Linked DNA regions of Anolis sagrei. The protein of the gene in region 4 purifies or fractionates together with the protein of the main gene of each other region. This does not show direct contact. Links are inferred from orthologs where the notes say so. Each region holds a gene or a part of one and is shown on either strand. Other genes may lie near its edges. The genes, in order: SART3, CD2BP2, PRPF19 and PRPF3.

Region 1 (7,803 bases), on a different chromosome or scaffold from region 4:
ATGATGGATCTAAAGCAAACTCAGCACACATACCTGTTATGCCGAGATTTGATTACTGGAGGGGTTTGGGGGGAACTGGCATTTCTTTCTAGGAGTTTTAGTTCACCTGCAACCAGAGAAACTGTCACCTCCACTGATGATGGACCTGGACCAAACTTGGCACACAGATCTTCCATGACTAACTCAACCTACTGGAGAGTTTTGAGGGAACTGACTCCCCATAATGGGAGTTGCAGTTTACCCTAAAGCCAAAGAGCACACTAAACCCCACCCGTGATGCATTTAGAGCAAACTTGCCCAACATAACAAACTTTAAGTACTGATTGAGCTTTTGGGGTTAACCTGGCATGATGAGAGTTGTAGTTTACCCACAACCTCATGAATTTTGTACAATTTTTCAAATAACCCGGGCAATGCCGGGGACCAAAGCCAGTTAAAGAAAAAACAATGACATTTAAAAACTGCAACAAAGAGAATGAGGCAATGGAAGTAGGATGAAATCCATGCCATGTGCTGTTGAAGGCTTTCATGGCTGGAATGACTGGATTGCTATGAGTTTTCCGGGCTGCCTGGCCATGTTTCAGAAGCATTCTCTCCTGACGTTTCGCCCACATCTATGGCAGGCATCCTCTTACGTTGTGAGGTCTGTTGAAAACTAGGCAAGTAGGGTTTATACAGGGTGCGACAGCATAACTTCCTTTTTTAAAATGCGTGCCATTCAGTCGGTTGAAGACGTAACGGAGCGCTAGTGGTCTCATTCAAGAGGCGGGAGTATAAAGTTTTGTCCTGACACAGTTCAGTCGCCATCCTGCGTTGGAACAGTGAGGAGCGTGCTTCTGCCGTTGAGGCCTACTTTTCGAGCGGATGTTCTGTGATCGCAACCCAGCGCGCCTTTCGGATTCGCTTTAATTTAGCCCCATTGGCCCCTGTCCCAGACGGAAATCAATTGTGACGTGGGTCACTACATTCAGACAAACTGCAAGTGCGACAAAACAAAGAACTGGAGTCCCTCGGCCCATTAGATCACCTGAGAACATTGAGGCAGTGAGAGCTTCAATGTTGCGATCACTACGGCGTTCTGCGCACAAACATGCGTCTGCCCTTGGACTTCCCGATCGTTCTGTGAGGAGAATTCTTCATGATGATCTTCATTTCCATCCTTACAAGATGGCGATTGTGCAGGAACTTTCTGAACATGACTTCAATTCTTGGAGGAACGCGTGTGAGGTTCTTCTCGAAGTCATTCCTGAGGACACTATTGGGGTTTTTTTAGTGATGAAGCCCATTTTCATTTGTGTGGATCCATCAACAAACAAAACATGCGCTACTGGGCTGACAACAATCCTCGAGAATTGCATCAAAAGCCTTTGCATTCACCTAAAATCACAGTGTGGTGTGCAATTTCCTCAGCTGGAATTATTGGTCCCTGGTTCTTTGAGGAAAATGAAATTGCAGTGACAGTTAATTCGGACTGGTATGTAAACATGTTACAGGAATTTTTTTCCTAAGGCTAGATGGGTTGGATTTAGGGGACATTTGGTTCCAACAAGACGGTGCAACTGAACACAATTCAAAAGCATCTATGGCTGTTTTGAGGGAACACTTCCCAGAGCGCCTCATCTCAATTAGGGGGGATTTGGAGGGGCTGGCCCGCTCTCCAGATTTGGCCCCTTGTGATTTTTTTTCTATGGAGTTTTTTGAAATCCCGTGTTTATGTGAACCCTCCAAGGACCCTACAAGATTTGAAGACCAACATCCAGGAAGAAATTGCCAACATAACGCCTGCTATGCTGGCAAGAGTCATGACAAATGCTAGAAATCAGTTTACTCAGTGTATGGAGAATGGGGGACATCACCTACCTAATTTGATCTTCAAAACTACGTAAAACAAAACTTTAGGTATGCACCTACATTATAAAAAAATTCTGATTCATACAATGGGTTTTATTAAGTTTTGAAAAAAGGAAGTTATGGTGCTTCACCCTGTATATCTGTGAAATAATGTCCAAGGTGGGAGAAAGAACTCTTGACTGTTTGAGGCAAGTGTGAATGTTGCCACTTGCCAGCTTGATTAGCATTGAATAGCAGTTTCAAATCCTGGCAGCTTCCTGCCTGGTTGGGAGGTGTTTGCTGACCCTGATTGCTTCCTTTCTGGATTTCCCCTGTTTATTAGAGTTGTTCTTTATTTACTGTCCTGATTTCAGAGTGTTTTAATACTTGTATCCTGATTTTGTTCATATTCATGGTTTCTTTCTTTCTGTTGAAATTGTTCACGTGCTTCTTGTGGATTTCAATGGCTTCTCTATGTAGTCTAACACAGAGATAGTGGAGGTATTGTGGGGTAAAAATGCAGTAAATAAAATAATATATATATACACACACAATGTATATAATTACATTATGTATTTATATACATTATGTATATATATATATATTATTTATAGATATTTATATACATATTATTATACTTACATTGGTGATAGTATGATAGCTGGGTCCAGAAGCTCCGAGCGTTACGCACATTCCGCAATGGCGGTTGTGAATAAGGGAAGGGGAGATCGGCACACTGAGGGTGGGACTATACTTCGTAGTTACATTTGGTGGAAGGATAGAATGGAGGGGAAGGTTAGGATAAGGTAAGGGTTAGGAATAGGGTTTGGGGTCAGGTAAGGATTAGGATTAGGGTTAAGGTAAGGTTTAGGGTTTGGGTTAGGGTAAGGTTTAGGGTTCGAGTAAATAAATAAATAAATAAATACCATTAAAGAACTCTTACATGCCTTCTATAATATTTGTGTTCCGTTTTGCGTTGCGCAAACAGCGCTCCCGAAGGAGCAAAGCGGAAACAGTGTAACACTCTGAGCTTCCAGACCCAGCCTTCATACTATTCCCCTTACATTTATATTATATAGATAACATGTATAATTATATTATTTTTATATTATTTTATATATTATATTAATATTGTAAAATATAAGGCTATTAAGGTTATCCATTAAATGTATATATTATTTATATATGATTATTAGTTATATTTTAATATCATTATTCATACTATTATATCTCTGATCTCTAGATTGAGGCATATTTTTTTAAAAAACCATGACATTGAAAACCTGCATCAAACAGAAGGAGGCATTGGAAGTTGGATGCAATGCAAGCCATGCTTCCTCAGGGGGCGTGGTCTCCCATCGCGAAGCCCCGCCCCGCGCGAAGCCCCGCTCCGGGGCCCTCACCTGCTCTTCCAAGCGCTGAATTTCAGCCTGGTTCTCCTTTTCCTCGTCGGCCTCCGAGGAGTCTTCGGACTCCAGTTCCTCGTCCCCTTCCGAGCCTCCTGCGGCCCACAACGACGCCTCAGCTTCGCCGCCGTCCGCCATCTTTCTCCGCCGTTAAGCCCTTTCAGCTGTCTAATCCACTGCCTGACGGGAAATGACGCGACTGTTTTGGCCGCCTGCATCTTTCCAGCAAGCGGTCCGTTAGACGCCTCTGCTTGGGGGCTTGAAGGAAGGTCAAACTATGTCCTTTCCGGAAGCACGGCTTAGGATGCCGGGGCGGCCATCAAGAGTGTGTCAGTTTCCTTGTCCTTCAATGGCAGCCTATGCTTGCTGGCCCTTGAAAGAAGCATAGTAACAATAAAAATATGCCAATATTAATCAAATAAGAAGAAGAATTCTTCCAACTCTCAACAAGGATGGGATCGATTTTAATCTTTCCATGTTGCGGATTTTAAATTGTACTTTAATGTGATTTTATTATTAATATCATTCCAATAATAATAATAATAATATGACGTGTGATCCAATATATCAGCCAGCAGAGTGATCTTGTCTGCTGTGGACTCATCTTGTTATGTTTCAAAGATCGATGCTTTTGAGCTGTGGTGTTGGAGGAAAGTGCTGAGAGTGCCTTGGACTGCGAGAAGATCCAACCAGTCCATCCTCCAGGAAATAAAGCCCAACTGCTCACTGGAGGGAAAGATACTAGAGACAAAGTTGAAGTACTTTGGTCACATCATGAGGAGACAGGAAAGCCTAGAGAAGACAATTATGCTGGGGAAAGTGGAAGGCAAAAGGAAGAGGGGCCGACCAAGGGCAAGATGGATGGATGGCATCCTTGAAGTGACTGGACTGACCTTAAGGGAGCTGGGGGTGGTAACGGCCGACAGGGAGCTCTGGCGTAGGCTGGTCCATGAGGTCACGAAGAGTCGGAGACGACTGAACGAATGAACATTAGTATTATCATTATTGGAATATTAATATTTATTATCACATTAAAGATTCTTAATTGTAATTTAATGTGATATTATTATTAATAATGCAATAATAATAATAGTACAATAATATTGGAATAATACTGTTATTATTATTGGAATATTATTATTAATATATTATTCAAATTAATATTACTAATAATATTAATAATGATAATTCCATTAATAATAATTCCAAGTCCCAGCAAACACACGATGAATGTTAATCTTTGTATGTTGTGAACTTTAAACTTTATTTTCATGTGATATGCTTGCTGGGGCTTGGAATCATTATTAGAATCATAATAATATTGGAAAAATTTTATATTTATTTATTTATTTATTTATTTGATGCATTTATTAACCGCCATTCTCAGCCCTTTAGGGCGACTCATGGCGGTGTACAACACATATAAAAAGGCAATTTACAAAGAGGCAATTACAACAACATATTAACAATACAACAATTACAAAAATTACACTAAAAATCCGCTTCGTCTCATAGTGGAATCATAACCAATCTCATATTCCTTGTTCCTTTCCAGTCGTCTTTACCACATTTTTATAGCACTTAATTAAATGCCTTCTCGAACAGCCATGTCTTAAGGCTTTTTCGGAAGGACATAAGGGAGGGCGCCTGTCTGATGTCTGCAGGGAGAGTCATTCTTTAGAGTCATTCATTATAGTCATTCTTAGAATGATAATATCACATTAAAATACAATTTAAAATCCGCAACATACAAAGATTATTATTATTCAAATAACATTATTAATAATCTATTATTATCCCAATAAAATTAATATATTGGAATAATATTATTAATAATATAACATTAAAGTACAGTTCAAAATCCACAACATACAAAGATTAACCTCGACCCTGTACTTGGTGGGACTTGGAATTATTGTTATTGGAATAATAATATTGGAAGTTTGAGAAAAGAACCTCTGGAAGGTAAAGGCTTAACTCCTGACCGCGTTTCCCCCCCCCCCCCCCCCTTTTGCTGGGCTTAGCGAAGGGAGTGACGACACAAGGAGGCGTGACCTATGGCGCCCTTGCGGCTCTTCCCCTGGCGGCCACGCCCCCGGGGGCCACGCCCCCGTTGCCCTCCACTGTCCTCTGTTCAAAACATTCAAGATGGCGGCGCTTCGGGCAAGCAGCGTGCGCAGCGCGGCGGCAGCCCTTCTGCGGCCTCGCCCGGGCCCGGCCTCCACCTCCCTGGTCGCGGGCTACCACGAGAAGGTGAGCCCGAGGCTTCCTCCGCTTCTAGGCCCAAAAGAAAGCTCGGCCTCGCTGGCCTTTGGAAGCCCCTTCTTGGCATTTGGGACTTCGAGTCCCAGAAGCCTCGGCTGCCTTGGCCTGTGGCCGAGCATTCTGGGAGCAGCAGTCCCAAGCACTTTGGAGGCCGGGGAAACTAGTTAGGGTCAGGAAAGATATTGGACACATCTTGTAGGATATTTGTGCGCATGCGCCGCTCAGAGCCTTCTTTGGGAGAGAAGAAAAGGGATAGTAATAATGCTAGTGATGATAATCATAATAATTATGATAACAATCATAATAATATAATAATAATGGTAATACTACTGGTTATGATAATGGTAATAAATACTAATCATAAGAATGATAATATTGATGATAAAAATTATAGTAATAATACTGATGATGATATTGCTAATAATACTGATGATAATGGTAATAATAATGATAATTGTACTACTACTGATGATAATAATGGTAATCCTGATGATGATAATGTAATACTGATTATGAAGATGATAAGTATAATGGTAATAATACTGGTGGTAATAATGTTAATGGTACTAATACTGACGATAATAGTAATGGTAATAATAGTGTTTGTTGTTGTTGTTATTTGTTCAATCACTTCCGACTCTTTGTGAACTCAAGCTCCCTGTCGGCCGTGGCCACCCCCAGCTCCTTCAAAGTTAAGCCAGTCACTTCAAGGATAACATCCATCCATCTTGCCCTTCGTTGGCCCCTTCCATTTTTCCCAGCATGATTGTCTTCTCCACGTTTTCCTGTCCTTTCATGATGTGGCCAAAGGACTTCATCTTTGCCTCTAATATCCTTCCCTCCAGTGAGCAGTCGGGCTTTATTTCCTGGACTACGGACTGGTTTGATCTTCTCACGGTCCAAGCCACTCTCAGAATTTTCCTCCAACACCACAGTTCAAAAGCATCTATCTTCCTTCACTCAGCCTTCCTTATGGTCAACCTCTCACATCCATATAATGCAATTGCTTTAACTATGCGGATCTTTGTGGCTAGTGTGATGTCTCTACTCTTCACTATTTATTGAGATTGATCATTGCTCTCCTCCCAAGAAGTAAATGTCTTCTGATTTCCTGGCTGCAGCCTGCATCTGCAGTAATCTTCGTGCCTAGAAATACAAAGTCTGTCACTGTCTCCACATTTTCTCCCTCTATTTGCCAGTTATCAATCAGTCTGGTGGCCATAATCTTGGTTTTTTTATGTTTAACTGCAACCCAGTTTTTGCACTGATGATGATGGTAATAATAATGATAATGGTACTAATGCTGACAGCAATAATAATGGTAATAATACTGATAATGATAATGAAAATGTTACTAATACTGACTATGATGATGATGATGATGATAATATTGATGATGGTAATAATGATAATGGTTCTAATGCTGATGATTATGTTAATGATAATAGTTCCTAATTGCATCTAGATTGAGCCCATAGACTGCGATGAGGACAGTTCCTCTTCCACTTGCTGAAATATATTACTAATATCCCTAATAAATAATAGCCAGGCCTCTTTTTCGGGGCTGCCCATGTGGAAGGGAAGCCCTAACTGGTAGGGCAGCACCAGGTTGGTTTGGCTTGAAAGTAATAGGCCCAAGTGGATCCTTGGAATGACTGTGGTGGGCCTTCATGTGGCACAACCATGAACCTGGGACCCCAGGTCTCAGCGGTGGCCGGGGGAGCATTCGCACAATTATAACCTGTGCGCCAGCTGTGCCCATATCTTGGGAGGTCTGACTTGGCCACGGTAGTTCACGTTCTGGTTATTTATTATTTACATTATTTCTATCCCGCCCATTTCAGCCTGAAGGCGATTCAGGGCGGTATACACAGTCGGCACAATTCGATGCCGAAACAAAATACATACATTGATAAAGCAAAAACATCAAGTGGAATTAAACATAAACGACAGTGCATAATAAACAATTTAAAAAGAGACTATGTCCTGTCATTCAAATCTTCATCGATTACATTGTCTTGGCCGTTCCTGGGTCAATTTCCAACTCTAGTTTGTCTGTTTACTCCGGGGTTCCGAATGCTTGCTCGGAGAGCCAAGTTTTTACTCTTTTTCGGAAAGTCAGGAGGAAGGGGGCTGATCTAATATCCCTAGGGAGGGAGTTCCACAGCCGGGGGGCCACCACAGAGAATGCCCTGTCTCTCGTCCCCGCCAGACGTGCTTGCGAAGCAGGCGGGATCGAGAGCAGGGCCTCCCCAGACTATCTTAAGTTCCTGGGGGGTTCGTAGGGAGAGATGCATTCAGA
Region 2 (8,496 bases), on a different chromosome or scaffold from region 4:
GCATAAACAGACAAGGGTCTTGAAAATAAACTTTTAAATAAGTTGTAGAATTAAAAGAAGGGTGATGTTTAGGAAGATTAGTGTTTGAAACCAGGAGAGATGAATGAGAAGAATGTGTGGATAATGGGTGGAAGAGTTCGAGAATGAAAACATGGAAAATTTGATCTCAAAATATAAAGTTGAGAGACAGAGATGTAAGAAATAAATTCCTTTTTTAGTTGACGTAAGTTGATGAGAGCAGGGTCCCTGGCAAATTCTGAGCCAGTTTTTGAGGATTTTTGAGACATTGAATGCCCCTTACCTTTGAAAGTCAGCTCTTCCCCTTAAGACTTTCCTTCAGGTCACTCCACTTCCTTCATTGCTCCACAAGAATAGTTTCCCAGGTGAAGAGGAGGGGCTTGCATTTACCTGCATTTACCTGCCATCCAGGTAGTGTTAGAAGTCACTTGATCCCGTGTTCCAGGAAGGCTGGAGGGTAAAGCAATCACACAGTTTGATGACAGCGTCTTGACTGTTTCTCTCATGTTGCTCTCCAAAAGCAGGAAGAACAAGCAGCTCTAGAGAAGAGGAAGTAAAAAAAAACAAACCCCTAAATGTGTACTGGAATATTTTTTCAAGCAAAGTTTTCTTTGGTCCTAAAGAACCCTATTTCAAGAAGTGAATGAAACTGTTGTTAAGAACAAATTGTTGTGGGAAATGTAGAGCAAAAGAAGCTTAATTTGAGTTGATACTGGACTCTATAAAGCAGCATTTTTCAATCTGGGGTTCACAAGGGGGGGTCAGAGGGGTCGCCAAAGACCATCAGAAAACACAGTATTTGTTGTTGGTCATGGGGGTTCTGTGTGCCGAGTTTGATTCAATTCCATTGTTGGTGGAGTTCATAATTCTCTTTGATTGTAGGTGAACTATAAATCCCAGCAACTACAACTCCCAAATGTCAAGGTCTATTTTCCCCAACCTCCAGCAGTGTTCACATTTGGGCATATTGAATATTTGTGTCAAGTTTGGTCCAGATCTATCATTGTTTGAGTCCACAACGCTCTCTGTATGGAGGTGAACTACAACTCCAAAACTCAAGGACAGTGGCCACAAAACCCTTCCAGTATTTTCTGTTGGTCATGGGAGTTCTGTGTGCCAAGTTTGGTTCCATTCCATTGTTGGTGGAGTTCAGAATGCTCTTTGATTGGAGGCGAACTATAACTCCCAGCAACTACACTCCCAAATGACAAAACCAGTCCCCCCCCCCCCCCCCGCAAGCCCACCAATATTCAAATTTGGGCATATCGGGTATTTTTGCCAAATCTGGTCCAGTGAATGAAAATATATCCTGCATATCAGATATTTACATTACAATTCATAGTACTCACAAAAGTACAGTTGTGAAGTAGCAACTGAAATAATGTTATGGTTGGGGTCACCACAACATGAGGAACTGTATTAAGGGTCCGTGGCATTAGAAAGGTTGAGAAACACTGCTATAAAGGATTACAATTTGTCAGAACCCATCTTTGGTATCATATATTCTTTAGACTGTTGTCAATTAATAACAGCTTGGTGATTTGCATGGGCAGGAACGATTTGATGGTGCGTTGTATCGTTTTAGGAGAGAGAGATGTCCAGTTCCATTGCTTTTCTGAGGCTTCTGTGGGTAGATTTTTATGAAATTTAAAAGAAAGAAAATAACACAAAATACGTTGTGCTTGTCTATGGAGTTTCCATTTAATCTTTATAATTAAACACTGCTGCTTCTAAGGTCTAGATATATTTCCTGGATGTGCCACTGCTTTTAATGCTGCCTCCAAAGCAGCTTGTGGCAGTAAACTCTTTAAACAGAACACATGCCATAAAATAACCTTGGCTCAACAAAGTTTTAAGCATAAAGATATAATTTCTCCTTAATGTTTAAATTTGAAATAATGCAGTTTAGGTTTAGTGTCTGGGAAACTGAAATGCTCCAAAGACCCAAATTGTCCACCTGGGGGCTGGGATGCCGCACCTTTGTTTTCAGATAGTTCAGTGTGCAAAGGCTTTATTGCATCAAACAATAATTCAAAATTCTGTGCATAAAGTTACCTCCGGGCTATGTGTTTATGGTATATGCCTCCCTAGTCAACTTTCAGTCATGAATTTTGATTTACATTCTATTGCTACTATCACTCATCTTCAATGACATGACTGCATGGAGTGCCCTTACCTTCCCTCTGAAGTGGTACCTGTTGATCTACTCACATTTGCATGTTTTCGAACTGCTAGGTTGGCAGAAGCTGGGCCTAACAGCGGGAGCTCATCCTGCTCTCTGGATTCAAACTGCTAACCTTTTGGTCAGCAAGTTCAGCAGTTTAACCTGCTGTGCCACTGGGGGCTCCTATGTTGTGTCCAGAAACTGTTTATTATTGCAGATTTATTGATTGCTGGTTGTTATCCTCTTTTATATTATTATTGTAAGGTTGTTTTATTTTGTTTATGTTGTTGTTGATGTATTTTAATGTGTTTTATTTTAACTATTTTGATCGGGCTCATCCTCATGTAAGCCGCCCTGAGTCCCCCTCAGGGCGGCTTACATTATTATACGTTAATAATTATACGTATTATTAACGTATAATAATAAAGTTATTATTATACGTTATTTTTATTGTGTGTAACTATGTCTAAATACGGGAGCCCTTGGTGGCGCAGTGGGTTAAAGCGCTGAGCTGCTGAGCTTGTTGACTGAAAGGTCGCATGTTCAAATCCAGGGAGCAGCGTGAGTTTCCCCTGTGAGCCTCAGGTTCTGCCAACCTAGCAGTTCGAAAACATGCAAATGTGAGTAGATCAATAGGTACTGCTCCGACGGTATGGTAACGGCACTCCATGCAGTCATGCTGGCCACATGACCTTGGAGGTATCTACGGACAGCACCGGCTCTTTGGCTTAGAAATGGAGATGAGCACCAACCCCCCGAGTTGGACACAACTTCAATGTCACATTGAAGATGAGTCTGCATGTTTTCTGCTGCTCTGGAGACTTAGTGCCCTTCCAGGCAGGCCTTCTATCCCAGGATCTGATCCCAGGTTTTCTGCTTTAAATTGGATTATATAAATCCACACTGCCAGATAATCTGGGATAAACAGAAAACTTGGGATCAGATCCTGGGATATAGGGCCTGTCTGGAAGAGCCTCAAGGCCCCTTCCACACTGCGCCTATAAACCCAGGATATGATCCCAGATTACCTGCTTATCCCAGATTATCTGGCAGTGGAGACTCATATAATCCAGTTTAAATCAGATAATCTGAGATCAGATCCTGGGTTAAAGGGTAGTATAGAAAGAGCCTCAGGGCCCTTCCACACAGCCATATAACTCAGAATATCAAGGCAGAAAATCCCATTGTCTGCTTTGAACTGGGTTATCTGAGTCCACACTGCCACATATTCCAGTTCAAAGCAGATGTGGGATTTTTTGAGCTGTGTGGAAGAGGCCTCAAACATGGAGTAATGAATTCAAATGGCAGGAAAAGAGATAAGGAAGGACTCGCTAAGAGTAAGAGTTGTTCCAACATGTGGTGGAGGCTCCTTCTTTGGAGGTTTTAAACAGAGGTTGGATGACCATCTGTCTGGGGTGCTTTGAATGCAATTTTCCTACTTCCTGGCAGGGAGTTGGACTGGATGGCCCATGAGGTCTATGTTTCTACGTTGCCCGGGAGTGTGGTGAAGTCTCCTCCTCTGGAGGTTGGATTGGATGGCCATCTGTCAGGAGTGCTTTGATAAGTATGCATTCCTGCACAGAATGGGGGAGTGTAGTGAAGTCCCCTCCTCTGGAGGTTGGATTGGATGGCCATCTGTCAGGAGCGCTTTGATAAGTATGTATTCCTGCACAGAATGGGGGAGTGTGGTGAAATCTCCTATTCTGGAGATTGGGTTGGATGGCCATCTGTCAGGAGTGCTTTGATAAGTATGTATTCCTGCACAGAATGGGGGAGTGTGGTGAAATCTCCTATTCTGGAGATTGGGTTGGATGGCCATCTGTCAGGAGTGCTTTGATAAGTATGTATTCCTGCACAGAATGGAGGAGTGTGGTGAAATCTCCTATTCTGGAGATTGGGTTGGATGGCCATCTGTCAGGAGTGCTTTGATAAGTATGTATTCCTGCACAGAATGGGGGAGTGTGGTGAAGTCTCCTCCTCTGAAGGTTGGATTGGATGGCCATCTGTCAGGAGCGCTTTGATAAGTATGTATTCCTGCACAGAATGGGGGAATGTGGTGAAGTCTCCACCTCTGGAGATTTGAATTGGAGGGCCATCTGTCAGGAGTGCTTTGATAAGTATGTATTCCTGCACAGAATGGGGGGATGTGGTGAAGTCTCCTCCTCTGAAGGTTGGATTGGATGGCCATCTGTCAGGGGTGCTTTGATAAGTATGTATTCCTGCAGAGAATGGGGGACTGTGGTGAAGTCTCCTTCTCTGGAGACTTGAATTGGATGACCATCTGTCAGGAGTGTTTTGATAAGTATGTACTCCTCCACAGAATGGGGGAATGTGGTGAAGTCTCCTCCTCTGGAGATTTGAATTGGAGGGCCATCTGTCAGGAGTGCTTTGATAAGTTTATATTCCTGCACAGAACGGGGGACTGTGGTGAAGTCTCCTTCTCTGGAGACTTGAATTGGATGGCCATCTGTCAGGAGTGCTTGGATAAGTATGCATTCCTGCACAGAATGGGGGAACATGGTGAAGTCTGGAGGTTGGATTGGATGGCCATCTGTCAGGAGTGTTTTGTTAAGTATGTATTCTTCATAGAATGGGGTTGCACTGGATGGCCCTTTTGGGTGTCTCTTCCAACTCATAGGATTCCATTGAAACAAACGAGTCCTGTGCCTTTAAGGCTTGCCCGCACTGGCCTCAGCAGCGCTGCTCAGTTCTAGCGAAGCCACAGGTTGCCAGGAGCTGACGTCACTTCCCATGCGCCAAAGAGGGGCAGTCCTCTAGCCGTCCTGTTGTGGCATCGGCTTCGAATGGTGGCAGGACCCGGATGTTGATTCCTTCCCAGTGAGAGTTGCCTGCGTGCTGCAGAGGCGCAGAGGTGAGAGTTGGCTCCATAAGTTTTAGGGGGGAGAGGGGATTTGCATATTGTCATTAGCAGAGGCCAGGAGGGAGGACTAGGCCTTGGGGGCTTCCACACCACCCCCCATTAAAGAGTGGCAGGGCTTTCTCTAGTCAGATCTATGTCTGCATAGTATATAATATTATTAGGACATGCATGGGCAGAGTTGGGCCTTTGAGGGGTTTTGGACTCCAACTCCCACCATTCCTAACAGCTTCAGGCCCCTTTATTTTCCCCCTCAGCCGCTTAAGCGGCTGAGGGGGAAAATAAAGGGGCCTGAAGCTGTTAGGAATGGTGGGAGTTGAGTCCAAAACCCCTCAAAGACCCAACTCTGCCCATGCCTGTATTAGAAGCATAGACTTGGAAGGGACTATAAGAGCCATCTAGTCCAGCCCCCTGCCATGCAGGAAAAGCACAATCCTGTTGGAGCAGAAAGAAAATCAACATCAGTCCTCTTGGCTAGTTCTCCTGACAAAATATATTAGGAGCTGTGGACTCCCGACTCGGTATCCGAACCTCTTAAAAGAGCTAGACCCAAAAATAGTTGCTCAACGAGTATTGGATATAGAAGGCCAAAAAGACATTGCTACCCTCAGTAAAGCTGGCTCATTGAAATGGTTAAGCCGCTTTAAACACACTTTCCAAACAGCTCGATATCTAAAAACAGATATGCCAAAACACCTTAGGAGGGTATTTACCAGAGCTCGTTTTGAGCAGCTGGATTCAATGGTCAAGCACGGAAGGTTTAATCAGGGCCCATACAACGAACGAGTTTGTATTTGCGGAGCATCAGAGGTGGAGGATATCACACATGTTCTGCTCAACTGTGAGCTGTATAAGAAAGAGAGAGACCATTGCCTTGAACCATACATTATTCACAAAACACACTGGGACCCACATATTAAAACTTCATTTTTGTTGGCCGGCCAGAATCCTAAAATAACACACAAAACAGCCCTTTTTCTATTCAAAGCAACACAGCTGAGAATTGCACATTTAGAATCAATTGGGGTAAACTGTGGAGGTGACACAGATATTTGACCTGAACGGGATCTGCCAACAGTTTGTTTATTTTAACCTCTTTTATTTTAACCTCTCTTATACCGAGGGTTGTATGTTGTATGACTATGTGTTAAATGTGTTATGTGTTAAATGTGTTATGTGTTAAATGTTTTGATACGGCCAATAGGCCAATCAATAAAATGTATCTATCTATCACAATCTAAGCATCCCCGACAGATGAGAATCCAGCCTCTGTTTAAAAACTGCCAAAAAAGGTTTCTACCACACTATTGTTGTTTATATTATTATTATTATTATTTCTTATTCTTCATACCAGCCTCTTCTCATAGATCTAGACAGAGAACAACAATCTATATAAATAAAAATGTAATGTTCGTTTGTGGGATTAACATAACTCAAAAACCACTGGATGAATTGACACCAAATTTGGACACAATACACCTATCAGGCCAGCAAGTGGCCATCACTCATAAAAACACTGAAAAATAGCAGAAAAGACTTAAAAAGCCACTAAAAATTACATTACAACGGATGCACGAAACCACATATATATGGAAACACATATATACACATGTACACAACTATATACACACACATATATGCCTATTTACACACACAAAACACATATACACAGAAAGGGGGAAAGAAGGAAGGAGAGAAAGAGGGAAGGAGAGAAGGAAGGGTAGAGGAGAAAGGAAGGAGAGAAGGTAATAAAAAAGTGAAAGAAGGGAGGGAAGAGAGAGAGGGCAAGGAGAGAAAGAGGGAGGAAAGGAAGGAAATAAGGAAAGAAAGAGAGAAGGAAGGATGGAGCCAAAGAGCAAAGTAAGGGAGGAAATAAACAGGTAGAGAAGGAAGAAAGAAGAAGGGAAAGAAAAAGAAGGGAAGGAAGGAGGGAAAAAGGAGGGAAGGTTGGCCACAGCAACGCGTGGCGGATTCAGTTAGTCTATATAAATAAAAATGTAATGTTTGTTTGTGGGATTAACATAACTAAAAAAACAACTGGATGAACTGACACCAAATTTGGACACAATACACCTATCAGGCCAACGGGTGACCATCACTCATGCAAACACTGAAAAATACAACGGAAGGGACTTAAAAAGTCAAAAAAGCAGAACGACGCTACAGCACATGGGCAAAAACAATTCCACCTGGCAAACAAAACACACAATAGCATATCCAGACTCTCTTTTGGACTACAGTTCCCAGTATCACCTAGACCCGGCCCTTTAGAAGAGGAGGATGATCCAAATGCACTGCTTCCAACCTGCAAGCTTTCTTCTCCTCGGATTTCTTTGAGAGCATCCCAATCCCTGCGTTTTTCCAATTTCCTATTCCTGGACGGCAACTCCTCCAGATAGATAGATTACATAGAGATGAGTAGGTAGGTAGATAGATCGATCAGGAGGACTGCTGGGAGTTACAGTCCAAGAATAGGTAGAGAAGAAAGAACTGTGTCTCCTGCCATTTAACTCTGCTGATAATCATTGTTTTCAGTAGTATCAAAGAGAAAAGAAAAAACTTTTGATTGTTCACTTTCCCTATACCATGCACAATTTTGTACTTCACCTGTTTTCTAACCTAAACCTATAATTTTAGGGGTGTTGTTTCTGCCCTTTGCATCATTGGAACATCCCTTTTAAAATACACTTTTTACCTTTAAAATATTCTGTAAGGCATAAACATGCACTGACTATAACTGTATTCAATAAAAGTATTTGCTATACCTTACCCTACTATGCCATTCCAAGTATAAAGTACCATACATTTCTATAATGGGTTGCTGTAATTTTCTTGGGCTGTATGGCCTTGCTCCAGAAGCAGGCATCCTCAGAGAGTCCTCACAACCTCCGAGGATGCCTGCCATAGATGCAGGCAAAGTGTCAGGAGAGAATGATTCTGTAACATGGCCATACAACCCAAAAAACTTACAGCAACTCAATGATTCAGGACATAAAAGCCTTTGACAATACATTTCTATAACGACTGTATAGTTTTATTTTTTATTCATTTTCTAACAAATACAACCAGCTTATATTAAATTTGGATAAAGGTGGGAAGATTGCACAAGTCTGCCAGAGGGAAAAACTGTTTAAATTATTGCAGCTCTATTTAATTTATTTTTAAGGGCTGAAAAACCCGATCGAATTGCTGTGCCACACATCATTCTTTCACATATTTACTATTTTTATCAATTCAGTTGTTACTCTGTTTTGATCACATGCTGATGTCCCAGCGTGGTTTCCTTTATTGCTTTTGAATGAATGGGCTGTTGTTTTTCAAAGCAGCGGATTAAAGTGTTTTGAAAACCTATGGCTGGATCTGCAGTGTCACACAGTACAGTTTGGAAATACATCATATGGTCTGATGAAAGCTAAATATGATGGTGAAAATATGA
Region 3 (7,793 bases), on a different chromosome or scaffold from region 4:
CTTTCATGATCAGATGGTAAAGTTATAAATTTAATTGGGACAGTTATACATTTAAACAGAATCTAAAATAAAAAATAGGTGCATTCCTGAAGACGTATTTCACAATACATTATCATAAAAAGGCATTTCCATTATGGCAATCACCTGAGAGTAAAGTCTGATGAACAGGCTGATTAAGATGGGAAATCAAAAGCTGATGCAAGTTGAAAAGAAAAAAATAATGCCTACATAATCTTGAGATCCTTGTCATATTGCATGCTTTAAATTTCAGTAAGATCAGTTTATAACTCATTCAGATCAAATGTGTTCTAGTAACTGTTGAGCTTAGTTTTGAGATAAAGGAGGTTCACACAATCTATTTCCACACAATGAATGCAGGGGGCCCATAGGCTATTCTTACACGTAACTATCACCAGGTAATATTGCCACACATCCCTGAATAGCTATTTGAGGTTCATTTGAAGGCAATGGTCCTTCCTCATATATTGGAGCTTTTTGATGAACAACAGATATTTAATAAGGGCATATGAAAACAACAATGTATGGAACTACACTACAAAGTCCCTTTCAAGTATTCATTCAACACTCTAAAACAGCAATGCACTGATCTGCCCATTTGGGGTAAGTCATCAATCTCTATCTGTAAGAAATCATGCCAGCACAGCTGTTCAGACAATGTTGCTTTATAACATATACACACACATAAGTCTAAAAACTTTACTTAAAAAGATGAATCCCCCCAAAACTGAGTTGACATACATATAAGTCAACATAAACACTGTACCTTAAATGCAATTTAAAAGGGGGGGAGCATCCTTTTCTCTCAGTAGTGGCAAAAGGTAAGAATGTAGTCTGTCCCGGGATAACCTAAAAGAAGTGCCAAACCCTTTCTACTCTCTCTTTGTCTGAAAGAATAAACCTTGCCCAAAGTCATCTAGTTAGGTTCCATCGCCCAGCAGGAATTTGAACCCTGGTCCTAGTCTAACACTCAAACCACTACTACACCATGCTAGTTATTAATTAGTTAATAGTTGAAAATACATAAAGAACTATATTTACACACACACATTTTAATATTTTAATGGGAATTATTGTAGTAACATGAATCTTGTTGTTTCTTTAATTTTATGTTTATACTTTTTATTTATGGGTTAGAACTGTTTTATTGGTATGATTTTATATTTATTGTTAACCACCTTATGTCCTTATATTGGTAGAAAGGTAGGAAAAAATAAAATAAACAGATGAAAAAAATCCTCTTCAAATGAACCTTTGACAAAGAAAGCTATCTTGTCCCATGGCATCTCTATGTCTGAAAATCAGAGAAAAATGTGGATTTTTAATGAAGTGAAAGGTAAGAAGGACAATGCTTGCAAGATGACAATCAGCAAGCTATTTAAGCATCAACCAGACAATTAAGACCAATACCAAGGATATTCTTGTTTATAACAATGGAAGGGAATCTTATGGGCTACCCAGTTCCTCACTAAATTCACTCATGTAGGAATTCTAGAGCTAAAGCATCCTCAAAAATAGCTCTCCAGTTCGGTGAGGACTGCCAGCAAAAAAGAGTCCCTCATCTTACTGATTTTGTTTCACTAATAAGATGATATCATTCAGCATAAGTATTTTTTTATCTACTGTGGTTGCAGGCTACAAGAACTAGAAAAAACATGCTAGGACTGTATGGCTCCTTGCTGCCTGGCACAACTAATAGTATCACCCCAGAAATCTAGGAAATCATTCTCATTATCAAACTGCTCTTATCAGTGAGAAGTTTCCCCAAGAGTCAAGTTTGAAAACTTCCCTCCTGCAACTTATGTGGACTAGATTGTCCTGTCCTGGAGGGACCAGAAAACAAGTATCCATCCTCTCTTTTGTAACAGCTCCATAGCTTCAACAGGACTAGTAAACTATTTAGGCTTAAAACCTAGATCATTATGGCTAAAGTTTTGTTATTGTGTGTCTTCAAGTCATTTTCTGTGACTGTGGGCCTTCCACGCAGCCAAATAAACTAGAATAACAAGGCGGAATACCCTACAATATTTGTTTTGAATTGAGTGATCTGAGTCCACACTGCTATATATCCCAGTTCAAAGCAGCTGTGTGGAAGAGGCCCGTATCACAAAGGTCAGTCGGCTGAAAGTGTGTGCTTGGCTCAGGATAACCCAGTGGGTTTTCATGGATTCGAACCCTGGTCTCCAGAGTCATAGTCCAAGTTTATGTGTGTGCATGTGTATATATACACAGAGAGATACGTATGTAGACACAGCAGGACCTCAGAAAAACCATGTGCAGGATTATAAAAGAACCCAATACTAGTCAGAGAAATCCCAAAGAAACTTTGACTGCATCTAGACCAGTGTTTCCCAAACTTTTGGTCCTCCAGGTTTTTTGGACTTCAACTCTCAGAAATCCCAGCCAGTTTACTGGCTTTTAGGAATTGTGGGAGCTAAAGTCCAAAACACCTGGAGGACTAAAGACTGGCAAACACTGGTCTAAACCGAAGAAGTAATGCAGTCTGACCCCACTTTACCTGCAATGGCTCAATGCTATGGAATCACGGGAGTTGTAGTTTTACAAGGCCTTTGCCCTTCTCTGCCAAAGTGATGCTGCCTCACCAAACTACAACTCCCAGGATTCCTTGGCACTGAACCATAGCAGTTAAAGCAGTCTCAAAATACATTAATTCTACAATGTAGATGAGAATAGGAGAAGCATTGCAAATAGAAGCCCAATATAGAAATCCCTAATTCAAATTTCATGTTTACCACAAATGCACGTGGAGACCTGAGAAAAGCTGCTCTTTTTAACAAAACCCCCTCGGAAATACAGGGCTTAAAACAGAGCAATGCCCATTAAGGGCTATGGAGTGGAAAGAGCAGAAAACCCGACGCAAGTATAAGCCTTTCATTGCCCCAAATCAACAATTCGAGTTGCCTTGATCCCTTTTCGACCAATGTACGGAGCCCTTCATCCATTCAGGCGGGAATTCCAGAGCAAACCTCCCATTTGCTGCAGCAAAGCAGCCGAAGTGCCTGGGAGCTCGGCCTCCATAGAAACGGACACAAAGAACGAGGCAAACCGCGTAACCTTTTCACAAGTCTCTATGGAAATGCACCCCAAGTGCGCCCGCTTTGCCTTCCCATCACTCTTCTTAAACCAGAATAGCCCTGCCTGGCACTCTTTTCTCGGCCGACTTTATGAAGGGGAGACAAGACACAGAGTGGGGCCGAAAGGGGAATGAAAGCGGTTCACTCACTGGAGCATATGAGGGACATGGCGAGCGCCTCCTCGACATGGGCCTTACGGCTGCTTCCGGGCCACTAGAGCGAAGGGGAAGGTTCTGCTTCCGGTCGCCTTTCAACTCGAGCTGCAGCGCGCGCGGGAGAAGGTTGCCCCGGCCGGAAATGGACCCCTCCGACTTTCCTCGTCACGTGCGCTGCCAAAGCCGCAAGGCCTAACGGTCCCACGCGAGTACTTCCGGTTTGGGCTGAGCGTTCCGTCAACTACAGCTCCCAGCATGCACCGCGGACACAGAGCGCCTCTTAGAGGGGAGCCGCACGACCGAATTGTAGCGCTTGACACGGGTTTGACTGAAATTGCTCAATCCCGTAGAATTCTGGGATTTGAAGTTTGTTGTGGCAAAGAAGCTCTCTGGCAGAGAAGAGTGGATTTCTCACAAAAAGACAAAGCCCAGATACCTATAGCTTTTAGCCAAGGCAGTTATTATCATTATCCTGCAGAGAGCCAAATAATACACCAGAGGGAGCAACCTCTTTGAAGTTAAGCAGGGACAGCCCTGGTTAGTGCTTGGATGGGAGACCGCCGAGGAATACCAGGCACCGTAGGTTATATCTCAGAGGAAAGAACTGGCCAAACCAAGAAGAAACCTGCGAAATCTATGAGGTGGTTTGAAGGCGCGTACATGCATGGATTTAAACATTAGGCCTATGTCTTCAGTTGCCTCTTGAATCTTCCTTCCCCCTTTTTACAGAGGCATTAAGGAAACAAAGGAAGAAGGGTAGAATTTTAGTTGAAATTGTGTTTGGATAATAAGGATCCCATCCAGATGTAGAAGGTAGAAAGAGCTTGTTTGCCCTAACTCGAGGTCTAAAATTACAGCTTCTCAGCATTCTAGACTACAAAACATGAAATTTCTACATGCAGCTGCACTCTATAATTCACAGTTGTGATCTGAGGAGTCCATACTTCAGGAAATAAAGCCCAACTGCTCATTGGAGGGAAGGATAGTAGAGGCAAAGATGAAGTACTTTGGCCACATCATGAGAAGAAAGGAAAGCATACAGAAGACGATGCTGGGGAAAATGGAAAGAAAAAGGAAGAGGGGCTGACCAAGGGCAAGATGGATGGATGGGATCCTTGAAGTGACTGGATTGACCTTGAAGGAGCTGAGGGTGGTGACGGCCGACAGGGAGCTCTGGCGTGGGCTGTTCCATGAGGTCACGAAGAGTCAGAAACGACAACGAATGAACAACAACAATCAGGAGAGGTCTGCATGGGGAATTGGCTGCTGTCAAGTTGAGTTCGACTTATGGTGGCCCTATGTATATGGCATTACTAGAGCTTAAAGAGTAGGCAAAGCATCTGAAATCTTGTGCTGCCTCCTGCAGAATTCCAGGCGTTATTTATTTATTTGTCCCATTTATACACCTTCTCAACCCCATAGGGGACTCAAGGAGGCTTACATACACAGGGAGTTGTAGTTCAGTGAGACCCAGGACCTCTCTGGCTGAGCATTTAAAGGCCCCCTCCCCTAAACTACAAGCCCAGCAACCAACTAATGTCACCCTTCTTAAATGAACTGGGGGTCCCAAGTACACTTACCATTTAATGCAGTGTCAAACTGGTATTGAAGAAAATGCTTGCAATAATCAGAAATGAAGTCCCCACCCCCAAGTGCACTGTAATTTGAATAAATCTGCAATGATAAACCAAAGGTCAAGTCTCAAAAATATGTCAGACAATTCAGGAAGCAAAATTGGATCATTGAATGGATTGAGATTAATATGGGAATTAGATTTAGGGTTTAAATAGAGGAGAAAATGGAACTCAGTTTGGAAAATCCAATCTTATATATCAATTTCAGCACAACTGAAAGAAAATACTCTGAAAATTATGCATAGATGGTACCATTATCCACTCAAACTACATAAAATCAATAGAATCTTTACTTGGAGAGTAATATGGGATCAGAGAATAATATTGGATCCCATACTGGAGAGTAATATGGGATCCCATACTGGAGAGTAATATGGGATTGGAGCCACATGTGGCTAATGTGCATAAAGTATGGAGATTCTGGGAGGAAGTGCTATCATGCATAAGCCAAGTAGTGGGGAAACTTCACTTCAGGGGAGCTCTATAAATGATTTCTGGGTATTGTTTCATTATGCACGCGGGGGCCAGCAGGGGGCACTAGAGAGAGAAGGATAGTCCATTTGGGGGGAGGAGTGGGGAAAGAGAGAGGGGGAATAACCAGCAAAATGGGGGAAGTGGTTTTCCTCCTTCAACTCCCCCCTCCCCATAAAATAGACTATCCTTCTCTCTCTACTGCCCCCTGGTGGCCTTTGTCTGGATAATGGAACAGTACCGATTTGGGTATTCAAAAGTGAGAATAAGGTTCTGTGGTAAATAATAAAAAAATACTACTCCTGTTATGTGTCACAAGACTCAAAATTGTGAAAACCTGGAAAAAAGTTAGAGGATCTGACAATAAAGAGCTGGTTAAACGGGATGTGGGTGATAACTCTATAAGAAAAGTTAATTTATAAATTAAGATATATAAATTAAGATTAGCAAAAAAGTGAATTGAAAGAAAATCTATTTGATAAAACCTGGAAACCATTTATTAGTTTCATGTGTAAAAGCAATGGCGAATTTAAACCACCAAACGTCCAAGAAGGATTGTGGATGAGTAATTTATGAATACATTACAATAAAAAAGCAAAAAGATTTTTAAAAGAAGAAAAAACAAACAAACTGGTTTTGCTGTGCAGACGATTACATAGGAAGTCCTGTAACCAATTTTGAGCCCGGATGGTGATGACACAAACCACAGAGCACTTATACATAGAGACAATCTCTTAAGATTATATGGATCAGAGTTTCCTCAAAATTCATCAAATGCACAACGTAGTGGAGGGAAAGGATTAGAGCAGATTTTTTTAAAAAAAAATAAATTAAATAAATCTGACTCTATAAGAAATGATTAAAGGTGGACTGCTGGGTGTAAGGTGACTGGGATTTAGTTTGTAATGTATTTTAATGTTTTTATATTTGATGACACAAAGGGTTTAATCGTGTTTTTATATACTTATATTTTAATTCATTTACATTTATTTAACTTGCATTGTACCCTATTTATCATTATATATCAGGAGAAAGGCAGGATAAAAAACAAAATAAGTAAATAAAACAAATGCACAGTGTTTACATTTTTATATTTGCTTTCCACTCCCTTCTTGCAATTTCTTTCTTGCAAATTTTTTCTTGCAAAGTGTTGGTTGCTGTGAATTTTCTGAGCTGTATGACCATGTTCCAGAAGCATGGTCTGACATTTCGCTCATATCTATGGCAGGCATCAGAGGTTGCGAGGTCTGTTGGAAACTAGGCAAGTGGGATTTATAGATCTATGGAATGTACAGGGTAGGAGAAAAAACTCTTGTCTGTTTGAGGCAAGTGTGAATGTTGCAACTGGCCAGTTTCATTAGCATTGAATAGCCTTCCAGCTTCAAAGCCTGGCTGCTTCCTGCCTGGAGGAATCCACTCAGGCATGGGCAAACTTCAACCCTCCAGGTGTTTTGGACTTCAACTCCCACAGCTGGTTCAACTCCCCCCCCCCCCCCCGGCTGTTAGGGATTGTAGGAATTGAAGTCCAAAACACCTGGAGGGCAGAAGTTTGCCCTTGCCTGTGTTAGCTGCCACAGATGTGGGCAAAACACTAAAAAAACCAGGGGATATTATTTATTTATTATTTGTGATATTTGTATACCGCCCTTCACAATCCCGAAGGGGATTCAGGGCGGTTGTGTGTTGGCAACAATTCAATGCCATCGATAAAAACAGTATAAAACATTAAAACTGGCCCTCCTCTAATAAAAAAATAAACATTATTAAACACAATACATAAAACAGCATTACCTATCACACAGAGACATAGCTGGAAATCCAGACAGGAAACAATTGGGGCCAGCTAACATCTCCCAACAAAGGATTCCCCCAGGCAGGAAATAGCTAGGCTTTGAAGCTGCAAGACTATTGCAACATTCACACTTGTCTCAAGCGGACAAGAGTTCTTTCTCCCACCCTGGACATTCCACAGATATATAAACTCCACTTGCCTAGTTTCCAACAGACCTCACAACCTCTGAGGATGCTTGCCATAGATGTGGGTGAAATGTCAGGTGAGAATGCTTCTGGAACATGGCCATACAGCCCGGAAAACCCACGGCAACTCAGTGATTATGGCCATGAAAGCCTTTGACAACACAAAAAAGCAAAACTTGGGGAATTGAGAGGAAGAACTGAGACTGCATCTAGTGCAATCAAACCCTACTTTGTCCTCCGGATCCCCTGTCCTGATACATTACATTGATCTCTCACCCAGAGTTTTAAAATTTTTTTATCTTTTGCAATTGGCCCTGCCCACTGTGATCAATTTTCTATGTTCGAATGTTCTGATTTTATATTGTCTGATGTGTTTATTTATATTGGTTCTTGTACTTCATTTTTTCTTTTTCTTTATTTTTTGCTGTGTTACTGTGTTATAT
Region 4 (8,596 bases):
GATCATCAACATAGATGAAGCTCTCCGTCCCTTCTGGCTTAGGCTGGTCATTCCTAATGCCGCGACCCCTTAATACAGTTCCTCATGTTGTGGTGACCCCCAACCATAAATTTATTTTCATTACTACTTCATAACTGTCATTTTACTACTGTTATGAATCGTCATGTAAATACCCGATATGCAGGATGTATTTTCATTCACTGGACCAAATTTGGCACAAATACCCGATATGCCCAAATCTGAATACTGTTGAGGTTGGGAGGTGATTTATTTTGTCATTTGGTAGTTGTACTTGCTGGGATATATAGTTCACCTACAATCAAAGAGCATTCTGGACTCCACCAAAGGTAGAACTGAACCAAACTTGAATTGAATCCCAGCAAATATAATTCCCAAATGTCAGGGTCTATTTCCCCCAAACTCCATCATTGTTTGAGTCCACAATGATCTCTGAATGTAAGTGAACTACAACTCCAAAACTCAAGGTCAATGCCCACCAAACTCTTCCAATATTGTCTGATAGTCATGGGAGTTCTGAGTACCAAGTTTGGTTCAATTCCATCACTGGTGGAGTTCAGAATGCTCTTTGATTGTAGGTGAACTATAAGTCCCAGCAACTGCAATTCCCAAATGTCAAGGTCTATTTCCCCCAAACTCCACCAGTATTCACATTTGGGCATATTGAGTATTTGTGCCAAATTTGGTCCAGTGAATGAAAATACATCCTGCACCTTGGTCAAGGTGGTCCTTGCTCAAGTGGTCCCTGATCAAGGTGGACCCTGCTCAAGGTGGACCCTTGTCAAAGTGGTCCCTGGTCAAGGTGGTCCCTGCTCAAGGTGGACCTTGGTCAAGGTGGTCCTTGCTCAAGTGGTCCCTGGTCAAAGTGGTCTCTGGTCAAAGTGGTCCCTGATCAAGGTGGACCCTGCTCAAGGTGGCCCCTGGTTAAGGTGGACCCTGCTCAAGGTGGACCCTTGTCAAAGTGGTCCCTGGTCAAGGTGGATACTGGTCAAGGTGGTCCCTGGTCAAGGTGGCCCCTGGTCAAAGGGGTCCCTGGTCAAGGAGGTCCCTGGTCAAAGTGGCTCCTGGTCAAAGTGATCCCTGGTCAAGGTGGTCCCTGGTCAAGGTGGACCCTGTTCAAGGTGGATCCTGCTCAAGGTGGACCCTGCTCAAGGTGGACCCTGGTCAAAATGGCTCCTGGTCAAGGTGGCCCCTGGTCAAGGTGGTCCCTGATCAAAGTGGTCCCTGATCAAAGTGGTCCCTGGTCAGGTGGTCCCTCGCCAAGGTGGTCCCTCGTCAAGGTGGTCCCTTGACGAACCACTGATCTAGACACTAGACGTCTATTGATGCATCCTAGAATCACATTGGCCTTTTCAGCTGCTGCATCACACTGTTGACTCATGCAGAAAAAATACAGAATAGTATATACATTTAGGGGGTGTTGTTGTTTCTTATTGCGTCTGGAGGGAAGGCAAGTAAGCATCCGACTCGATCTGTGCTCTTTGACAAGGGGTCTCCTTTCTCCTCTTCTCCAGGGTCCTCACCATGGATGGGATCATCGACGAAGCCAAGCGGCGGCGGTATTACGAGAAGCCGTGCCGCAGGAGGCAGCGGGAGACCTACGAAGCGTGCCGGAATATATATAACACGGAAATGGCTCGGAAGATCAGCTTCATCGCACGCAAGAATCGCGCAGACCCTTGGATGGGTTGCTGAACTCAAGGGTTTTCCGTATTGGAGACCTAACAGCGCATTCCTTTTGGTGGGATTGTTTTGAACCCCCTTAATCATCAGAGTATCTTGGTTTCTTTTTACAGTCTGAAAAATGATGACGCCAATAAAGCCCTTGTGAAAAATCACTTGGTGATTGTGGGATTTCTAGTGGGATGTCCTCATGGTGTTTGATTTTTAAGGGGAGCAATTCGTTAAAATTATTTACATACAATATTTATAATATTATAATATAATGCAATATGATACTACTACTGATATATGATATTATAATTGTATATTTATATTCCATGTAATATTAGTAATAATATTACAATATAATGGTATAGTGCAATATAGTAACATTTAGCAATTCGTTAAAATTATATACATATAATATTTATAATATTATAATGTAATGCAATACATTACTATTAATAATAATATAATATTATAATTATATATTTATACTCCATGTAATATTACTAATAATATTACAATGTAATGGTATAGTACAATAAAGTAATTTTTAGCAATTCGTTAAAATTATATACATAAAATATTTATAATATTATAATGTAATGCAATATAATACTACTACTACTAATATAATTATATATTATTATTTTACTAATAATAATTTTAATATAATTATATATTATTATTTTACTAATAAAAATAATATATCATAATTATATATTTATATTCCATGTAATATTACTAATAATATTACAAAATAAAGGTATAGTACAATATAGTAATATTTAGCAATTTGTTAAAATTATATACATAGAATATTTATAATAATATAATATAATGCAATATAATACTATTAATAATAGGATATTTATATATTTATATTCCATGTAATATTACTAATAATATTACAATATAATGGTATAATACAATATAGTAATATTTAGCAATTCGTTAAAATTATATACATAGAATATTTTTAATATTATAATGTAATGCAATATAATACTAATAAAATTAATATATCATAATTATATATTAATATTCCATGTAATATTACTAATATTACAATGGTATAATACAATATAGTAATATTTAGCAAAATTATATACATATAATATTTATAATATTATAATGTAATGCAATATAATACTAATAAAATAATGATATTATAATTATATATTTATATTACATTTAGTATTATTAATAATATTACATTATAATGGTATAGTAATATTTAGCAATTTGTTAAAATTATATACATATAATATTTATAATATTATAATGTAATACAATATAATACTACTAATAATTATTATATTATATATTTATATTCAATGTAATATTACAAATAATATTACAATGGTATAGTACAATATAGTAATATTTAGCAATTTGTTAAAATTATATACATAGAATATTTATAATATTGTAATGCAATATAATACTAATAAAAATAATATATCATAATTATATATGTATGCTCCATGTAATATTACTAATAATATTACAATATAATGGTAAGAGAAAGAAAGAGAAAGGAAGAGAAAGAGGGAGGGAAGAAAGAAAAAGAAGAGAAAAGAAAGACAAGGGAAGGAAGAAAAATGAAAAGAAAGAGGGGGAAGAAAATAAAGGAAGAGGGAGGAAAGGGAAAAGAAAAGGAGAAGAAAGAAAAGGGAAGAGAAAGGGGAGTGAAGAAAGAAAGAAGAGAAAAGAAAAAGGGGAGGGAAGAAAGGAAAGAGGAAAGAAAAAGAAGGAAAAAGAAAGAAAAGAGGAGGAGGAAGAAAGAAAAGGGAAGAGAAAATGGCGGGAAGGAAAGAACAAAAGGAACAAGAGGGAGGGAAGCAAGAAAAAAAGAGGGGAAGATAAAGAATGAAGAGAGAGGGAAGAAAGAAAAAGAAGGGAAGAGAAAATGAAAGGAGGGAAGGAAGAATTAAAAAGATGGGAAGGGAAAGAGAAAAAGGAAAAGAGGGGGGAAGAAAAAGAAAAAGGGAAGGAAGAAAGATGAGAAGAAGAAGAAAAGAGGGAGGGAACAATGAGTAGAAGAGGGAGGGAATAAAGAAGAAGTGAAAGATAAGATAGGAGAGGGGGGCAGAAAGAGAAAAAGATGGGAAAAAACAAAGTAAGGGGGAAGAAATAAAAATAAGCAAAAGAGAAAGAAAGGAGAGGGAGGGAAGAAAAGAAAAAAAGGGAAGAGAAAATGAAGAAAAGGGAGGGAAGAGAAAAAAGGAAAGAAGAGAGAAGGAAGAATTAAAAAGATGGGAAGAGAAACAGAAAAAAGGAAGAGAGAGAAGAAAGAAAAGGGGAAGAAAGATGGGAAGAGGAAAGAAAGGGAGGAGAAAAAAATGAGAGAAAGGGAGGGAAGAAAGAAAAAGATGAGAAGAGGAAATAAGGGGGAAGAAAGAAAATGGAAGCAAAGAGAAAGAAAGGAGAGGGAGGGAAGAAAGAAAAAGGAAGAGAAAGGAAAGAAAGAGAAGGAAGAATAAAAAGATGGGAAGAGAAAAAGGAAGAGAGAGAAGAAGGAAAGGTGGGAAGGGGAAAGAAGGAGGGGAAAAAGAAAAACGAGAAAGGGAGGGAAGAAAGAAAAAAGGGAAGCAAAAACAAAACAAGAGGGAGAAGCAAAGAGAAAGTAAGTAGAGGGAAGAAAGAAATAAAAAGAAAGGAAGAGGGAGGGAAGAAAGAAAAAGAAGGGAAGAGAAGGAAAGGAGAGGGAGGGAAGAAAGAAAAAGAAGGGAAGAGAAAATGAAAAAGGAGGGAGGGAAGGAAGAAAAAGAAGGGAAGGAAGGAGATGGAGGGAAGAAAGAAATAGAAGGGAAGAGAAAATGAAAAAAGGGAGGGAAGAAAGAAAAAGAAGGGAAGAAAGGAGAGGGAGGGAAGAAAAAAGAAGAGAAGGAAGGAAGAAAGAAAGAAAAAGAAGGGAAGAAAGAAAGAAAAAGAAGGGAAGAGAAGGAAAGGAGAGGGAGGGAAGAAAGAAAGAAAAAGAAGGGAAGAGAAGGAAAGGAGAGGGAGGGAAGAAAGAAAAAGAAGGGAAGAGAAGGAAAGGAGAGGGAGGGAAGAAAGAAAAAGAAGGGAAGAGAAGGAAAGGAGAGGGAGGGAAGAAAGAAAGAAAAAGAAGGGAAGAGAAGGAAAGGAGAGGGAGGGAAGAAAGAAAAAGAAGGGAAGAGAAGGAAAGGAGAGGGAGGGAAGAAAGAAAAATAAGGGAAGAGAAGGAAAGGAGAGGGAGGGAAGAAAGAAAAAGAAGGGAAGAGAAGGAAAGGAGAGGGAGGGAAGAAAGAAAGAAAAAGAAGGGAAGAGAAGGAAAGGAGAGGGAGGGAAGAAAGAAAAAGAAGGGAAGAGAAGGAAAGGAGAGGGAGGGAAGAAAGAAAGAAAAAGAAGGGAAGAGAAGGAAAGGAGAGGGAGGGAAGAAAGAAAAAGAAGGGAAGAGAAGGAAAGGAGAGGGAGGGAAGAAAGAAAAAGAAGGGAAGAGAGGGAGGGAAGAAAGAAAGAAAAAGAAAAGAAAGATGGGAAGAGGAAAGAAAGAAAGAAAGAAAGAAAGAAAGAAAGAAGGAGGGAAGAAAGAGAAAACGAAGGGAAGAGAAAGGAAAGAAAGGAAGAAGGGAGGGGAAGGTGTTCTCCATGTGTTTTGGACTTCAACTCCCACCATTCTTTACAGTCTATTAGGATTTGAGGGAGGAAGGCCCAAGTTTGGCCTGACATACAGACTAGGCTTAACTATTGGAAGAAAAGGAGAGCGCCTCCAGCCAATCAGAGCCGCGTCGCCATGGCGACCCCGCTGCGGCGGAAGAGGCGGGGCTTTCCTGGCCGCGGAAGTCCCGCCTCCGAGCGAGAGTAGGGAAAACGTACGCCTCCAGCAAGCAGCTTCCGCTTCCGCTGGGCGACGACCTCGCAGCGCCGTCGAGGGAGCGGGTCTGGAGAGGAGAAGGAGGCGGGAAGGAGGCGGAAGGAGACTCCGAGGACGGGTGAGCCAGGCGGGGAGGCCGCGGAGGCGCCTCAGGGGGAGGAAGGCCCGGCTCCTTCCTGAGGGAAAAGGGGCAAGGCCTGAGGAGCCCCTCAGAGCCGGGCCCTCACCTAAGGGGGGGATGGAGAGGCCTGCCTGGCAGTGGCAGGTTCAGAACGCCTTTAGAGGAGAATCTTCTCTTGTGGGAGACAACCAGGTGCCATTAGTGGGTTGCTGTGCGTTTTCCGGGCCACGTTCCAGAAGCATTCTCTCCTGACATTTCTCCCACAATAATAATAACATCACACAGTCCTAGACACTTGGGAAGTGTTTGACGTGTGATCCAATTCAAGAGCTAGCAGAGTGTCTGCTGTGGACTCATCTTGTTGTGTTTCTAATAATAATAATAATAATAATAATAATAATAATACATCACACAGTCCTAGACACTTGGGAAGGGTACGACGTCTGATCCAATTCAACAGCCACTGTGGACTCATCTTGTTGTGTTTCTAATAATAAATATAATAATAATAATAATAAATAGTCCTAGATACTTGGGAAGTGTCCGACATGTGTGATCCAATTCAACATCCAGCAGAGTGTCTGCTGTGGACTCATCTTGTTGTGTTTCTAATAATAAATATAATAATAATAATAATAATAATAATAATAAATAGTCCTAGACACTTGGGAAGTGTCCGACATGTGTGATCCAGTTCAACAGCCAGCAGAGTGTCTGCTGTGGACTCATGTTGTGTTTCAAATGATAATAATAATAATACATCACACAGCCCTAGACACTTGGGAAGTGTCCGACGTGTGATCCAATTCAGCAGCCAACAGAGTGTCTGCTGTGGAGTCATCTTCTTGTGTTTCTAATAATAATAATAACAATAAATACATAATAATAATAATAATAATAATATTAATAATACATCACACAGTGGTAGACACTTGGGAAGTGTCCGACATGTGATCCAATACAACAGCCAGCAGAGTGTCTGCTGTGGACTCATCTTCTTGTGTTTCTAATAATAATAATAATAATAATATATCACACAGTCCTAGACACTTGGGAAGTGTCTGACGTGTGATCCAATTCAACAGCCAGCAGAGTGTCTGCTGTGGACTCATCTTCTTGTGTTTCTAATAATAATAATAATAATAATAACAACAATAATTCTTTATTGATTAGTCAATTTTGACCATATCAAAACATACAAAACATACACACTTGCCCATACATACAGTAAAACCATATATGAATACAAGGCATCCCGGCCTACTAGCCTGTCAACCCACTCCTAAATGATTGTGCAACTACAAGATAAAAAAAATAAAAGATTAAAAATTGATTAATTCCTTAAAGTAGGGTTTGGGCAGGGGCGCGGGTAGGTAAAACTAGTGGCATGTCCATATTAAGTTTTTAAGCTTGAATTTTGTTGATGGCAGCAAGGTCACCTCTATCTGCTTCCATCTTCTCGTGGATGGCCAGTGCTTTTTGCGTAAACAGGGTCAATTTTAAAATAGAGTTTTAATCTGAACTCTGTAGGAAGATGTGCAATTTCTCCTTATTCTCTAAATGAGTAAATTATAATAATACATCACACAGTCGTAGACACTTGGGAAGTGTCCGACGTGTGATCCAATACAACAGCCAGCAGAGTGTCTGTTGTGGACTCATCTTGTTGTGTTTCTAGTAATAATAATAATAATAATAATAATAATAATAATACATCACACCGTCTAGTAGTAGTAGTAATAATAATAATAATAATAATAATAATACATCACACCGTCCTAGACACTTGGGAAGTGTCCAACGTGTGATCCAATACAACAGCCAGCAGAGTGGCTTCTTGTGTTTCAAATAATAATATAATAATTGAGATGCCAAACGGACAAACCATAAAGTGCAATCAGCCCGAAGCCTATAAATATCTGGGGATACTATAGTTAGACAATATCAGGCATGAGCATGTGAAAAAGTTGGCCACCAAAGAATATATCCAAAGAGTCAGAAAGATTTTGAAGAGCAAGTTAAATGGCGGAAATACGATCAAGGCTCTCACCCCTGGGCCATCCCTGTCATTAGATACACTGCTGGGATTGTGAACTGGACACAAGCAGAGCTGGATGATCTGGACAGAAAAACCAGGAAACTGATGACAATCCACTCCTCATGACACCCGCATAGTGATGTCAACAAACTTGACCTGCTCAGAAAATCAGGAGGCAGAGAGTGGGCTTCTGCAAGTGAAACAAACAGTAGAAGAAGAGAAGCATGCCCTGGCAGATGATGGGAAAGGCAGTCAAGAACCAACATTGAGGGAAGTCAAGAGTAGTAAACCGCTTCAAGTGCAAAAGACAAAGAGGGAATACCGTAAAAACACAATCCAGAGCAGAAGAGAAAACTGACCAAAGAAGGCTCTCCATGGACAATACCTGGGAAAAATTGAGAGCCAAATTGACAAAGAAAAAACATGGCTGTGGCTCAGAAATGGGACTCTGAAAAAGGAGACAAAGGAGGGCCTGATTCTGGCAGTCCAAGAACAAGCCATTAAAACCAAGGCCATCAAAGCCAGAATTGAAAAGTCGACAACAGATCCCAAGTGTAGACTCTGCAAGGAAGCCGATGAAACAATAGATTTCATCCTGAGCTGCTGCAAGAAAATTGCGCAGACAGACTACAAGCAGAGGCATAACACCATTGCTCAGATGATTAATTGGAACTTGTGCCACAAAGACCATCTGCCTGCGACAAAGAACTGGTGGGATCACAAGTTACACTAAACAAACACGTCAAACTCATCTGGGACTTCCGAATTCAGACTGACAGAGTTCTGGAGCAAAATACTCCTTGACGTCACAATTATTATTATTACTACTATTATACTGTGAGCATTTGCATTTAGTTTTTGGTGGCAACATGAGTGGTCACAGGCCGATATGGTTGGTGTAAAGAATGCAGCC

Evidence for each region.
Region 1: the proteins of PRPF3 (region 4) and SART3 purify together in Homo sapiens (affinity purification with mass spectrometry; 5 studies listed by BioGRID and IntAct, counting the BioPlex papers as one, with this or other methods). This does not show direct contact. The link is inferred for Anolis sagrei from reciprocal best matches to the Homo sapiens genes PRPF3 and SART3.
Region 2: the proteins of PRPF3 (region 4) and CD2BP2 purify together in Homo sapiens (affinity purification with mass spectrometry; 3 studies listed by BioGRID and IntAct, with this or other methods). This does not show direct contact. The link is inferred for Anolis sagrei from reciprocal best matches to the Homo sapiens genes PRPF3 and CD2BP2.
Region 3: the proteins of PRPF3 (region 4) and PRPF19 fractionate together in Homo sapiens (co-fractionation; 3 studies listed by BioGRID, with this or other methods). This does not show direct contact. The link is inferred for Anolis sagrei from reciprocal best matches to the Homo sapiens genes PRPF3 and PRPF19.

Annotation. Positions count from the first base shown.
Region 1 is NC_090034.1:29,968,370-29,976,172, reverse strand, and holds the start of SART3 (squamous cell carcinoma antigen recognized by T-cells 3), read right to left. Parts: upstream 3,421-7,803; 5' UTR 3,375-3,420; coding exon 3,234-3,374; intron 1-3,233. Other genes in the region: iron-sulfur cluster assembly enzyme ISCU, read left to right, coding at 5,385-5,489. UniProt on the Homo sapiens protein: U6 snRNP-binding protein that functions as a recycling factor of the splicing machinery. Promotes the initial reassembly of U4 and U6 snRNPs following their ejection from the spliceosome during its maturation.
Region 2 is NC_090026.1:16,297,238-16,305,733, forward strand, and holds the start of CD2BP2 (CD2 antigen cytoplasmic tail-binding protein 2), read left to right. Parts: upstream 1-4,931; 5' UTR 4,932-5,054; intron 5,055-8,496. UniProt on the Homo sapiens protein: Involved in pre-mRNA splicing as component of the U5 snRNP complex that is involved in spliceosome assembly.
Region 3 is NC_090021.1:235,750,838-235,758,630, forward strand, and holds the start of PRPF19 (pre-mRNA-processing factor 19), read right to left. Parts: upstream 3,430-7,793; 5' UTR 3,282-3,429; coding exon 3,263-3,281; intron 1-3,262. UniProt on the Homo sapiens protein: Ubiquitin-protein ligase which is a core component of several complexes mainly involved pre-mRNA splicing and DNA repair. Required for pre-mRNA splicing as component of the spliceosome.
Region 4 is NC_090032.1:6,001,716-6,010,311, forward strand, and holds the start of PRPF3 (U4/U6 small nuclear ribonucleoprotein Prp3), read left to right. Parts: upstream 1-5,519; 5' UTR 5,520-5,642; intron 5,643-8,596. Other genes in the region: MRPS21 (small ribosomal subunit protein bS21m), read left to right, coding at 1,533-1,713. UniProt on the Homo sapiens protein: Plays a role in pre-mRNA splicing as component of the U4/U6-U5 tri-snRNP complex that is involved in spliceosome assembly, and as component of the precatalytic spliceosome (spliceosome B complex).